Ovis aries: one gene and its partner. The protein of the gene in region 2 binds, or shares a complex with, the protein of the main gene of each other region. Links are inferred from orthologs where the notes say so. Each region holds a gene or a part of one and is shown on either strand. Other genes may lie near its edges.

Evidence for each region. The genes of interacting proteins can lie anywhere in the genome.
Region 1: the proteins of RPS6KA3 (region 2) and BMF are in contact, whole or in part, in a crystal structure (PDB 8R58), measured with the Homo sapiens proteins. The link is inferred for Ovis aries from reciprocal best matches to the Homo sapiens genes RPS6KA3 and BMF. Residues at the interface, in NP_004577.1 of Homo sapiens: Trp252, Phe259, Phe268, Leu281, Ala283, Lys284, Leu285, Gly286, Met287, Pro288, Leu299, Arg300, Phe303, Lys304, Arg305, Asn306, Asn309; in NP_001003940.1 of Homo sapiens: Glu8, Leu10, Glu11, Asp12, Asp13, Val14, Phe15, Gln16, Pro17.

What each region holds. Positions count from the first base shown.
Region 1 is NC_056060.1:33,964,551-33,970,776, reverse strand, and holds part of BMF (bcl-2-modifying factor), read left to right. Parts: 5' UTR 1-1,382; coding exon 1,383-1,422; intron 1,423-1,594; coding exon 1,595-1,891; intron 1,892-3,396; coding exon 3,397-3,557; intron 3,558-3,756; coding exon of another isoform or gene 3,757-3,819; exon of another isoform or gene 3,820-3,915; intron 3,916-6,226. UniProt on the Homo sapiens protein: May play a role in apoptosis. Isoform 1 seems to be the main initiator.
Region 2 is NC_056080.1:18,623,586-18,629,811, reverse strand, and holds part of RPS6KA3 (ribosomal protein S6 kinase alpha-3), read left to right. Parts: intron 1-386; coding exon 387-548; intron 549-3,122; coding exon 3,123-3,199; intron 3,200-3,719; coding exon 3,720-3,837; intron 3,838-6,226. UniProt on the Homo sapiens protein: Serine/threonine-protein kinase that acts downstream of ERK (MAPK1/ERK2 and MAPK3/ERK1) signaling and mediates mitogenic and stress-induced activation of the transcription factors CREB1, ETV1/ER81 and NR4A1/NUR77, regulates translation through RPS6 and EIF4B phosphorylation, and mediates cellular proliferation, survival, and differentiation by modulating mTOR signaling and repressing pro-apoptotic function of BAD and DAPK1.

The sequences.
Region 1 (6,226 bases), on a different chromosome or scaffold from region 2:
GGCTTTGGAGGGCCCCATCTTAGGTTGGGATTGCCAGCTTGCCTAGAGGAGGTGGAAGGGCTGGAGGGGAGCCCCTGCCAGGTAACTGGTAGGACAGCGCTTGGTCCTTTCTGCAGGATGCCTTGTTTCCTGGCACTGATAAACTAGTCCTCTCACACCTTTTAGGAAAACACTGTCCCAAGAACACCACGTGCCTTTTTTTTGCCATCCAAGTGGACAGGGAAGAGGACAGGCAGGATAGGGACCATAGATAGCTCAAGGACAGGATGGGATGGAGGGAGAGTTGAAGCAGGCGCCTTAAAGAAAGCTTGCATTTGAGAAAGCCAAGATTCTTGAATTAACTGAGATTCCTCTAAGTACTTTACCAACCCACAGACCATTTGGCTTGTTCTTCAAGGGCAAGAGAGTGGAAGACAGAATTCCCAGGGGACCTCTAATTGATTCTGGCAGTGACAAACACCATCTCTCCGTATCCTTAACCACTCAGGTGGTTGCTTTTCTGACTGCCCCAGGGACCCTGAGGGGTTCCTGGTGTGTGTATAGGGGACTAACTTTGAGCACAAGAAGCTGGGTGACTGCAAGCTCGTACTTCCAAGAGCCATCAAGTGGAGCAAGTGGAACTTCTTTATCACCAAGAAACTCATATCAACAACCTGAGTTCAGGCAGCAAGTGAGGTCACAGAGAGAGGGCTGAATTTCACTTCCTTCTATGAGGCAGGTTGTACCCATCTCAGGTTCGGTGCTGGCAGGAATGGTAGGCTGTGGGGAAGGATTTGAAGTTGTGGAGATTAGTGACTCCACACTGAGCTGGGGAACTCTGGGCACTTTGCTGCATGCCGTACCTCTCCTCTCGGCTAAGCTGTGGTAGACAGATAGCTCCAGTCTGCTGAGAGGGCAGCTGCAATGACTAACTTGGGTTTTTCTCCCCCTCTCTCTCCCAGGACACACTCTTACCACATCGTTGAGCCTGTTTGTTGTGTTGAGCAAGCAGCGGGTGGAGACTAGAGTCTTGGGCGGGGCTTAGCAGGTTTGGAGGGAACCTGGCCGGGCTAGGATCGCTGGCTTTTGTTTTTGCTGCCCAGCCTGGAGCTCTGCTCAGACTGAGATGAGAACTTGATGGTTACTCCTCAGGCCAGCAAGGGGGTCTGTGTGTGGTGAGCACTGTGGGTACAGCCAGTCACAGCACCCTCTGCCCTCCCACAGCCACTCACAGAGGCTAGTCTTGTTGACATTTCTCCAGGTACCCTCCGTACTTGTAGCAGCTGACCATACCCCTGCTATGGCTATGAGTCAGTAGCAGTCCAACTATGTGACTGTGACCAGCCTGGGTCAGAAGAGGATGCTGAGGGGAAGGTGGCTCCAAGTGGGCGCAGGGAAGAAACATGGAGAATCCTGGAACTGCAAGGCAGCCCACATTTGGGGGTGGGTTGTCACCCTTGGCAATGCTTTATCTGTAGGATTGACTGTCATCAGTGCCTGAGCCCACTTCTCCACAAAAGAAGGGGGAGCAGGAAAGAAGGAAAGGGAGGGAAGTCCTTCCAGGTAGAGCCTGGGTGGGGGCAGCCTCCCGGATGCCTGCATTGCACCCTCACAGGGGAGATGGAGCCACCCCAGTGTGTGGAGGAGCTGGAGGATGACGTATTCCAGCCAGAGGATGGGGAGCCAGGGGCCCAGCCCAGGAGGTTGCTCTCTGCTGACCTGTTTGCCCAGAGCCAGCTGGACTGCCCCCTCAGCCGTCTGCAGCTCTTCCCTCTCACGCACTGCTGTGGCCCTGGGCTTCGACCCACCAGCCAGGAAGACAAGGCTACCCAGACTCTCAGCCCAGCTTCCCCGAGCCAGGGTGTCATGCTGCCTTGTGGGGTGACTGAGGAGCCCCAGCGACTCTTTTATGGTGAGTGCTCTTAGCCTTAGGACTCCTCCCTTAGAGATGGGGGAAAAGAGGGGACTTTCCCTCCCCAAACCTGCTCTTTGCTATTTCCTTCCCCAAATTGAGCAGCAGGGGCTATTGATCCCTCAACTCTTCACCTGCTGACTCTCTGCTCATATACTGCTTCTTGTCTGTGCTCCTCAGGCCACAAGCAGGACAGATTGCCTTGCCATTCTTTTCTGCTCATTTGTCCCTTTCTGGAGGGATCCTTGGGTCCATGGTATCTCCTTGGGTTGGAAGAAGGGTACCTGGGTCTTGGCTTTTACATATTATGGCCTGTTGACTGGCCCAGGCTTTTGTGTCGTAATAGTGATGTACCTTCCGTAAAGTGGCTAGTGTTGCCCTGGAGAAGGCTGGGGGATCTGTGACTCGCTGTTGACACTGAAGGGGAAAACCCAGCTTGTTCTGGGAGAGAAGTTTCCTGGAGGCAGAAGGTTCCCCGCCCCAGTTGTCACTTGGGACTTTCTGTGTTTGGAAGGGGAACTGGAGAAAGAGGTTGGGCCTGCCTAGGCTCATTGCCAACAAAGGGGCTGTTTCCAAGGCTCAGTCAGATAAGACCCTTTCATTTGTGGGCTTCAGTGGTTGGTTTTATTAGCAATTTGCCCTCCTCTGGCAAAAGGGCAAGGTTAGATAGCCAGTGTTCTTCATTTAGCACAAAGCTTATGGAGGGAAGGGTGGTTCAGAGGCTATCTTGCTGGGTCCAATGGAGCGGATTGAGGAGACGCTGCAGTTATTCCCAGAAGGAGCTGCACTGTAGGACAATTCAGGCAAAGTTCTGGCAGGAATCTGAGAAGATGGATAAGGCAGGCGGGCAGGAAGGAGGGAAAGACGGGAGCAAGCGGGCGCCCCTAGCGGCAGCTCGGTGACCAGCACTTGGTCAGTGAGGAGAGCAGGTCTAGATGTCTGGCCTGGGGCTGGCTGCAGAGAGGAACTTGGCTACTCTGTGGTTCAGAGGAGTCTTCTCTCCCTATGTTTCTGTGCCACTGCCCAGAGCTTCAGGGCCTGAAACCAGCCTTTCTCTGCTACACCAAAAAGTGAGGTTACTTTCTGATTTTCATTCTCTGTCCCTTGCTTTGCTCAACTGAGGATCTCTGGAGAGCTGCCTCCAATGTTTTTCTAGAGAAGAGCTTCAGCCTGCTACTACTGTATGAATAATGAATAATAAATTGTGGTCAAGCGTAGCTGTGTAAATAAGGACAGAAGGTTGGCAAGTTCAGCCACACTTATTACCTTTGCCATGGCGCTGCCAGTGAAGGGAGGAAAGCCTGGCATCAGCTTTCATACTCTTGGTCAGCAGGCAAGTCAGGCTGTCCACATTTGGCAGAGTGCCCTGAGAAAGACAGGCTCAGTTCCTCTCCTTCCCATACTAGAGTCTACCCTTGACCCCGGGTCTTGACCAGGGGTGGCAGGCATGGGGAAGATGGGGCAGTGGTGGAGCTTGCTGAGATGTGGGCCCTCTGTCTTTGCAGGCAATGCTGGCTACCGGCTCCCCCTTCCTGCCAGTTTCCCTGCAGGCTTGCCCCTTGGTGACCAACCCCCTGAAGGGCAGTGGCAACATCGAGCAGAGATACAGATTGCCCGAAAACTCCAGTGCATTGCAGACCAGTTCCATCGGCTTCATATGCAGCAAGTAGGCACTGGGGCTTGGTGGGGGGAGGTGGTGTGCATCTGCTGGGTCTGTGGGGCTGGGGCCTGCCTCAGCAACTCTGTCTCTGCCAGGACCCACGTTACCGTGATTCTCTTGAACTGGAAATCGAGAATGGGCCTGGCTGGATGAGTGCTTTTGCTCTCACCTATGAGATCCAAGTTGTTTATCTGCCTGCTTTCAGCTCAGGCCCCTGGGAAATGCTCCGATCTCTTCTGGAGAATGGCATAGCTTCTTGCAGCCTTGATTGACACACTGTATCTTATTGAGTTCATCAGTGGGAGATGGTCCCTTGCAGACCTAAGGGGAAGATTTTCATGGTGCTGAGGAAAACTGGACAGTCGGAGGTACCTGGCTGTGGTGCAGTGGGAAATGGGTAACCGAGGCCTGGACGGGTCTGAGTTGGGAAAAGTGGTGGAACCGGTTGTAACCCGACACTTTCCAGCTGGGGAGGCCGCTCCTCATTGTCTCTGTCTGGAAACCAGGGCCAGGACTCTGGAGACTGTGTACCTCACAGTCTCTCCAGACCAGCGACCGGGTGCTCAGCGGGCAGCCTGGCACCAGCCCGCCAGGGCGGAGCATCGCGTGTCACTGGAGCTTGTGGCAGAGCCCATCAACAAAGGCGGCGGCTGGCGGGCTCGTGTGGAGGAGCCCTCTGTGCCTTGGGCTGGAGGCTGCCTGGCTCTGCAGCGGCAGTCTGGCCCAGCCCCTGGGCACTTAACTCTTCCTCCCTGGGCTGACTTTCTGGATGGCTGCCAAGGCGGGGAGAGGAGCCTGAGGCTGGATCCCTGCTAGTACAACCACCACTGAAGCAAAGTCATGCCACCTGGAAATGAACACATTCCCTGCCTCTGAGACAGTGTCCTTGCCTAGTCGGCTGTGTGTGTGTGTATATGCGTGTCTATATATGACTGTATATTAGGAAATCAAGAGAATAATTAATCCACCACGATTGGGCAGACCCTGAGGTTAGGTGGGGAAATTCAGGTGACCGGAGGAGAGCTATTGATAATAGGTTTGGTTTGAGGACCAAAATATGGCCAGCACCTGGCGGGAGGTGGGGTGGGGAGACAGAAATTGAGTTTAAGTTTCCTGAGATCCAGACAGAAGGGGTTATTCTCTGCCAAGGGGTTCTGAGGGAAATGTGGGGTTAGACCTGGTCCTGGTGGGTCCCCCAGTCCCTCAGGAAGAGAGGGTGGCCCTATGCTTAGATAAGGCAGCCTGGCTGTCTCCTCTGGCTCCAAGTTCCAGCCCCTATTCCCTCCTTTGATAGCTCTGTGGAAACTTGGCTTAGGGTTTTCCCTTCAGTCCACTCTGGTTCTTGATTTCTGCCTCTTGGCCTTCTTCCTACCCATTCATTTTACGCTGGTTGTGTAGGCCTGTGGTTGGCCTGAGCTCGCAGCTCCTAGCCCCAGTGCTGTAGCTGATGGAGAACACAGTGGCTCTGGGTCTCCTGGACTCAGCTGGGGGACTACCTGGAAGGCAGTTTTCTGCATTCGCATTAGACCTGATCTCTCTCGACAGCTGTTTCCCAGAATGTTCCACCATCCACTGGTGAGCCCTTCTAGGCTTGGGAGCAGGCTAGGAGGCCTCCTCTGCCCAGTCGAGCCCTGGCACAGGACTAGAACTCAGCCCAGGGCCATTTCTTCCCAACTCAGTCCCTCACAGGAGAAGCTGGCCCTGATCCCAAGGTCTGACCCTGCCCTTTGCTGTTTGGCATCACTGACCCCAGTGCAGAGCTGTCTCTTCGAGGGCCTGGTTCAGCTTGGGAGCAGGAGGGGCAGAGCCACAGAGTGGGAGGAGAACTAGAGGAGAGTCTCCCCAGCTCTGCACCTCCTCCGCTGCTGGCTCCTGACTTCCCTGTGCCCCTCACCATCTTGCCAGCTACCTTCTCCTACCGTGCAGTGGCAGGAGGCCGGCCAATGAGGCCGAGAGCTGGATTTCCCAAATTTTCCATCTCAAAGAGCCAGGCTTTTTGTCCATGGGAGTCTTACTTTTATCGCCCTCCTCCCCACTCACCCTGCTCACTTCGCTGGGAGCCCATCCTGTGGGAAGGACTGGGATCATGGCCATGGGCAGATGGAGTGCTGGCATGTGTAGGGCCTTTTAGCAGCTAGTTTTAAGAAGTGAGTCATTTTCTGAACTTGATTACAATATAAACTAACGTCTAGATATTTCATATCCACACAAAACTGTCGTCACTCTTACATTCTTATCCTTCATCTTCTTTCCCTATTCCTTCCCTTCATCTCTGCAAGCAGGACACTGAGGCACAGGGGTAGAAGTAATTTAGGGTTAAGTCTTGAGGCTTCAGATACAAAGTCTGAAGGCCCAGGTTTGAATGCCAGCTCTGCCATCTACCAGCTACTGGGAAGACACTTGATCTGGCAGAGCCTATTTCCTCTTCTGTAAATTAGACCTAATGTCACAGAATTTGATCATGAAGATTCAGTGAGAAAACACTTATCTGAGTTCCAGGCACACAGTAGGTATTCTTTAATGCTTGTTTCCTTTGTCTCTATAATCCTGATCATCCCCCACATTTGTTCTTGTCAGTTCACAGTGCATCTTCCAGCCCACCTGTCCAGCTAGTCCCTAAGCAGAGCTGCCTCCTGTGGGCTCCCTTCTACCTGCTCTGTTCAGAGAAATTGGCT
Region 2 (6,226 bases):
TAAGCTCCTGGCATGTAAAGGCAAGGATCTTACAGGTCTTGTTCATCAGAGTATCTGCAGCTCCTTGTATAATACCCTGGTACATGATAGATATTCAATTAATATTTGTTGAACAATGAATAACTTGGAGACAGATATTACTGCTATTTGCATTTTTCATTAATCCACTCAATTGGACAAAGTGAGGGGGGAGATAAATACTGTTCTTTCTTCCTCCTTTCCTTGCCACAGTTCTGTGTGAGAGAGTTATACTTACACTATTAGTATTTTATACTGTTGGAATAATGTGAAGGTCACTACCAATCATCTTGTTAAGTTTGTGATAAATAATTTTCCATAATGGAGACGTATTGTTAATGCAGCTCTTTAATTTGTATTTCAATTAGGTGGTTCACAGAGACTTGAAACCTAGCAACATTCTTTATGTGGATGAATCTGGCAATCCAGAATCTATTCGCATTTGTGATTTTGGCTTTGCTAAACAGCTAAGAGCAGAAAATGGTCTTCTCATGACTCCTTGTTATACGGCAAATTTTGTTGCACCAGAGGTAATTGTGAAAGAGTTTGCTTGCAATATTTCAGTATATTTAAAGACTCATTTGCTTTGTTTTGCCCATCTTCCCTGGTAGCTCAGATGATAAAGAGTCTGCCTGCAATGCAGGAGACCTGAGTTTGATCCCTGAGTCGGGAAGATCCCTTGGAGAAGGAGACAGCATCCCACTCCAGTATCCTTGCCTGGAAAATTCTTTCCTGATACTCTTCGAATTTCCTGATTTTTGTCACCATCTTCCTGTATTTCTAAAGCTAAAACATCATGGTCTTTTCTTGTCTTTAGCTTTGTAACCAGTTAGCATCTCTGTTATCCCCTACAACCAGTTTGGGCTTCTTCTGTTCACAGACCTGCCTTCCTAGCCCCTGCTTCCTTCACCACAGCCCCAGGTGACTGCCACAGCCTAGGTGCATGGCGTTCCCTTTTGTCATTGTCTGATCAGTCCACAAAGATGTTGCAAAGTTGCTGAAGTCTTCCTCAAGCACTGCTTTGATCAGGTTGCTGCTTTTCCTAAGAAATTGCAGTTCCCCATTATAGCATCTCTAAAATCCAATGTTTTGCCCTCAAAATTTCTTGGCTTTGGATTATCACTATGTAAAAAATTAAAACTAGAAGCAAGATAATAAAAAATAATAGTTAATCCTAATATAAGGCTTGCATGTCAGGCACATATGTTAACAGATTTCATCCTCTCAGCTTTAATTTGGGTATAATAATTTGTTCTCATTATAACTATGTGAGCTGAGTAATTTTATTTGCATTTTACAGGAAACAGGGTGCACAGTGAGGGGTGATGCCATTTGCCTGAGATCAGATCTAGATTTGAGCCCAAGAAACCCAGCTACAAAGTTTGTGCTTTACCATGTGCTAGATATTTCACAAAAATGATAATAGTTGATAACGTTAGACTAGTTGGATTATAGATTCAGATTCCCTTGTCCGTTCTCCAAACTTTACTTTTTAGATAGAAAAAAAATTTTTTTAAGTTTATTTGATTCAGTTCTCCCAGTGATACTAGAACTGATGAGGGACAGGTTTTTTCCTTTATTTGTTGACATATCCACAGCCTCTGACACAAACTGGTGTCCAAGCATGACCCCCTAATCCAGCCATCTCATTTTTCCTCAGGATTGTTTCCTACTTCATATAAGCAGTCTGCTTCTTGGAATCACCATGTAGCTTTTATGTCTTGGCACATTGGAATGTTTTTTTTTTTTGCTTCAGATCCTGCCTCTAAATTCACCTTCAGGAAATCTTCTATGATCAAACTGTCCTTAGACTGACCTCTTAACTCTTCCCAAAATCCTCCTCCTGTATTATTTCTCCACATTCAGTGGATCACCAGATCCTTTCCTTTCTGATTCCTAAATATTTTAGACCTTTTTTCCCTTACGCTGTATATCCAGTCTTTACTGAGTCCTTCCCATTTTATCTTTATGTCTTTTCCTCTTCATGTCCTGTTTTAGTACAGATCCTCACAGCCTTTCACTTAGTTTGCTACAAATTGCCTCCAATGAGGTGGCCTTGTGTCCATTCTCTCTTCTTGCCAGCATTTTCTCTATACCTTGAGTTATCTTTCTGGTATACACATCCACTTATTTTATTTTCCTCTTTAATGCTTCAATGACATCTGATTGCCTGCAGGGGGAAAAAAAACACCTAGATTCCTTAACAAGATGTTTATAAAAAGCTTTCCAAGGTATTTCCTGGTGGGCCAGTAGTTAGGACTTGGTGTTTTCACTGTTGGGGCCCAGGTTCGATCTCTGGTTGGGGAACTAAGATCCCAGAAGCCACGTGGTGTGGCCAAACAAATAATTTAAAAAACCTTTAAAAACCGCTTCAGTCTCTCTATAGAATCCCCTGTGTGGAAATCTGGCCACACTGAACTTACATGTCGCTAAGCAGGCTCTGCTCTCTTGCCCCTGCTCTCTCCCACGTCTTGATTTCGCCTCCTGAATTCTTCCTTATCGGCCCAATACAAGCAGGTTGCCTCCGAGCCTTCTTCCCTCTCTCCCCTATCAAGAGTGAATTGCTTCTTCATCTTTATACCCATATCCTTAAAACATATTTTTGTTAGAAAACTTATCATGTTGAATTAACTACATATATGTTTATTTCCTTTGCAAGATTCTGATTTTCTTAGAGAAAACAGTTGTTTTGTATTTGTCACAGTTTATGCCTGATAATAGTGATGATTAAATCTTGAGTATATATATAAAAGTACAATTTTGCCCTATACCATTTATACTGTTATATTTTCTTTGTTTTGTTAATTATTTCTGCAGCCCCTTACAAAATATAAATACATTTAAATGAGAAATTTACCTTCAGTTTATTTTTATAGTCCTCTGTGTGCCACAGCAGCGTTTGATAAATTAAGATGAATATCAGAATTTAAATTTATATAAAGTATTAGTAGAAGTTTCTAGAAGTAGTATTACTATATTGCCTTGTTTGTTAATCATGCTATTTTTCTTGTATGCATTGATTTAGGAGACATAATTTAGTTCACGCCTATCCAAATCTGTATAATAAAAAACAGTGTGTTGATACTAATTTTTACTTTTTCTAGGTTTTAAAACGACAAGGCTATGATGCTGCTTGTGACATATGGAGTCTTGGTGTCCTCCTCTACACAATGCTTACTGGGTGAGTGTGTACCGTATGTTGTAAGCATTTATTCATCGATAATTTTGGTTACATTATCTAGATTTATTTTTTAATCTCTTATAATACTTTCTTCCCATAGTTTCTCTTGTTGTTTAATAATACAATTCTGTGTGTATATGTGTGTATCACTGTTATACCTGTATTATTATTTTCTGTAATGTACTATTATTAAGTTCTTCAGGTTATGAGTTGATTTTTTTATATCATTTTTGTACTCTGTGTCATAAACATATACTATTTTAAATTTATTATTCTATAGTATGTCATGTCTTAATTATATTATTGTATATTAAATTTAAATTAATATTTCATAACCTATACCTTGACCTGGTACTTTATGAAGCTTCATATTGTTGTTAATTTTTACTTAAGTAGATTTTGATGAGGTGTAACATTAAATGAACTACTTAGAGTACTTTTGGATATTGCAAATAAATATGAAAATTACCAACCAAAAAAGAAACTTTATTCATTAGCATGTTATTCTGTTATAAATTAGTTACACTCCATTTGCAAATGGTCCTGATGATACACCAGAGGAAATACTGGCTCGAATAGGCAGTGGAAAATTCTCACTCAGTGGTGGCTACTGGAATTCTGTTTCAGACACAGCAAAGGTAAGTATGGCTTCCTATTAAAGCTTTTGAGAAAATAATTTTTCATAATCCCTAGTGAGAAAAAATATCAGTTAGAAACTTGTTGATAGAGCAGTATTGAAATGATGTTGCCAAATACCTCAGACTCAAAAATTGACCACTTATGTTGTTTCTTTTCCAGAATAGATTGGTTTGGCCTATCTATCTATCTGTCTATCTATCTATCTATCTATTTCATGGTACTTCTTACTAATGAACATGATGAATAATGCTTACGGTGGAATTGGCCGGGCAGCTTTGGGAAGCAGAAGGATGTAGTCCATCCCAGGCTCTCATGATGATCTGTGTGTTTCCTCTGTGCCTCACACTGCACTTCACCTAGATTATCCCCTTTAATCCTCCTAACAACACTGTAGAATAGCTAGTAGTGTCACCATTTCCCAGTAGGAAACCAAAGCCCAGAATTTTAGTGTGAACTTCTCCACAGCAGGCATGAGTAGGTGCTTCAAAAGAAACAGCCAATTCCAAAGTCCTTGTTCCCTAGAATAACTGTACTGTGTTCTGTTTTTGGTCCATATTATGAAGAAAGGGGTCTATCTTTTTCTCAATAAATAGTAGTTTAGCTTTATAGTGTCTACTTGAAATCCATTTGAAATGCCTTTCTTGCTAGCAGACTCGCCATCCCCTGAATAGCATTGATCTGCCTTCTAACTCTCCTCTAGTTTCACTTTCAGTTCATTTGAAGAAAATTCTGTTTGAAAAGAAGAGCAAAGTTTTCCATTTCAAAATAAGAAAAACATAGAGGAGATGAGGGAGATACTATTGGTAAAAAGTGCTCACTCCTTTTTCTTAGAGGTGGATGCTTGACTTGAAATGATTGCATTAGTAAATAGGATATGTCAGAAATTTCTGTAGATAATTTTGGCATCGATATGAAGCCTCAGTTGACTAGTTTAATATCTGTGTGGATAATATTTAGTATTATAACTGTATTTAAAATGATATGTTAGCTTTTCCCTTTGTTTAACAATAAAATTTCTTAAACCAGGTAATTCATTTTTCTTGGTACTTTTTGCTTTTTTAAAATTCATGTATTGAGCACCTGCATTGTGCTTAATAAGTGAAAGTGCCAGGGATAAAAGATGGGACTCAGATGGAATTCCTGATCTCAGAGAGCTCTCAGGCTAGTTGTGAGATGGCCAGAAATATACAGTTCAGTGTCACATGTGCTTTTACAGTGCTCTGCTTACTGTGCTAAAGAAGTTCACAGATGATGTTTGATCAGAAAGGTTTCATGGAAGGCTTTCCAGAAGCATTGAAGGGATTGGCCAGACAGCTTTGGGAAGCAGAAGGATGTAGTCCATCCCAGGCTGAGGGAGCAGCCCATGCGTGGTCATGATGGCATGGGAATGGCACAGTACCTCCAGGGTGGTGCACAGAGTTTGATGTGACCACTACAAGGTACATGTAACAGGGTCACTGATGAACCACAGTTATGAAAGGTTTTGTCAGTCATGCTCAGGATTTGGGATTTTCTCTAATTACTGGGGAGCTGCTGAAAAATACTAAGCATTGTAGTGGTCAGATTTTCCTTTTTCAAGGTCACTGTGGAGTAGTAATTTTTAACCATTGGGATCGACTGCAAACTTGGTCACAATTGGTTGTCAGGCGTATCAAGTAATGTTACCACAGAAAGTACCATAGTTTATACATTGCCTGGTTTTTTAATAAGTTAAAGCAAGTCTAGCTTATCTCTATGATTTTTATAATTTGGTTCTCATTCACTTGCATTTTATGATTTTTTTTGAGTGAAAGGCAGGTGAGGATGAGATACAAATAATGCAAAAAAAATTACATCTAGTGCACAGCCTATTTTATGAATGCCACATGATTACTAATAAGTTTTGCTAATTTTTCCAGTTAATACTTGTGATTATAAGTATAATGTAATATGCTGAATACCCACAAAATTGAGAAGTAGAAAAAAGTAAAAATAACTCTGTAATCTTTGGAGGGAGCATTTAGAACACTCCAATTAATTCCTGTTATTAGACAGTTGTATCCTGCTTTTCAGTTTTACCAGTAGTACAAAAAAAATCTTAAGTAGCTGAAAGTTACTTAGAAATAAACCAATGAAAATGTAGAGAAAATCAGAATATATGAGAGAAAAAAGAGCCAAAGTCCTTAAATATACATAAAATGTGGTAAATTTACCCTTTGCAATGCACCAGAATTATTGTTAACTCAGGGAGGAGAAAACAAAGACTTAAGTTTTTACTTTTTTTTTTTTTAAACATTGTCATATTGACCAAATTGCTTTGTACCCAAAGGTCTGCTACTCAGAAAGAATAGTGTCATGGAAACCAAGGAAGAATACTACACAGTATCAGGTGCTATAGGAAAACAAATA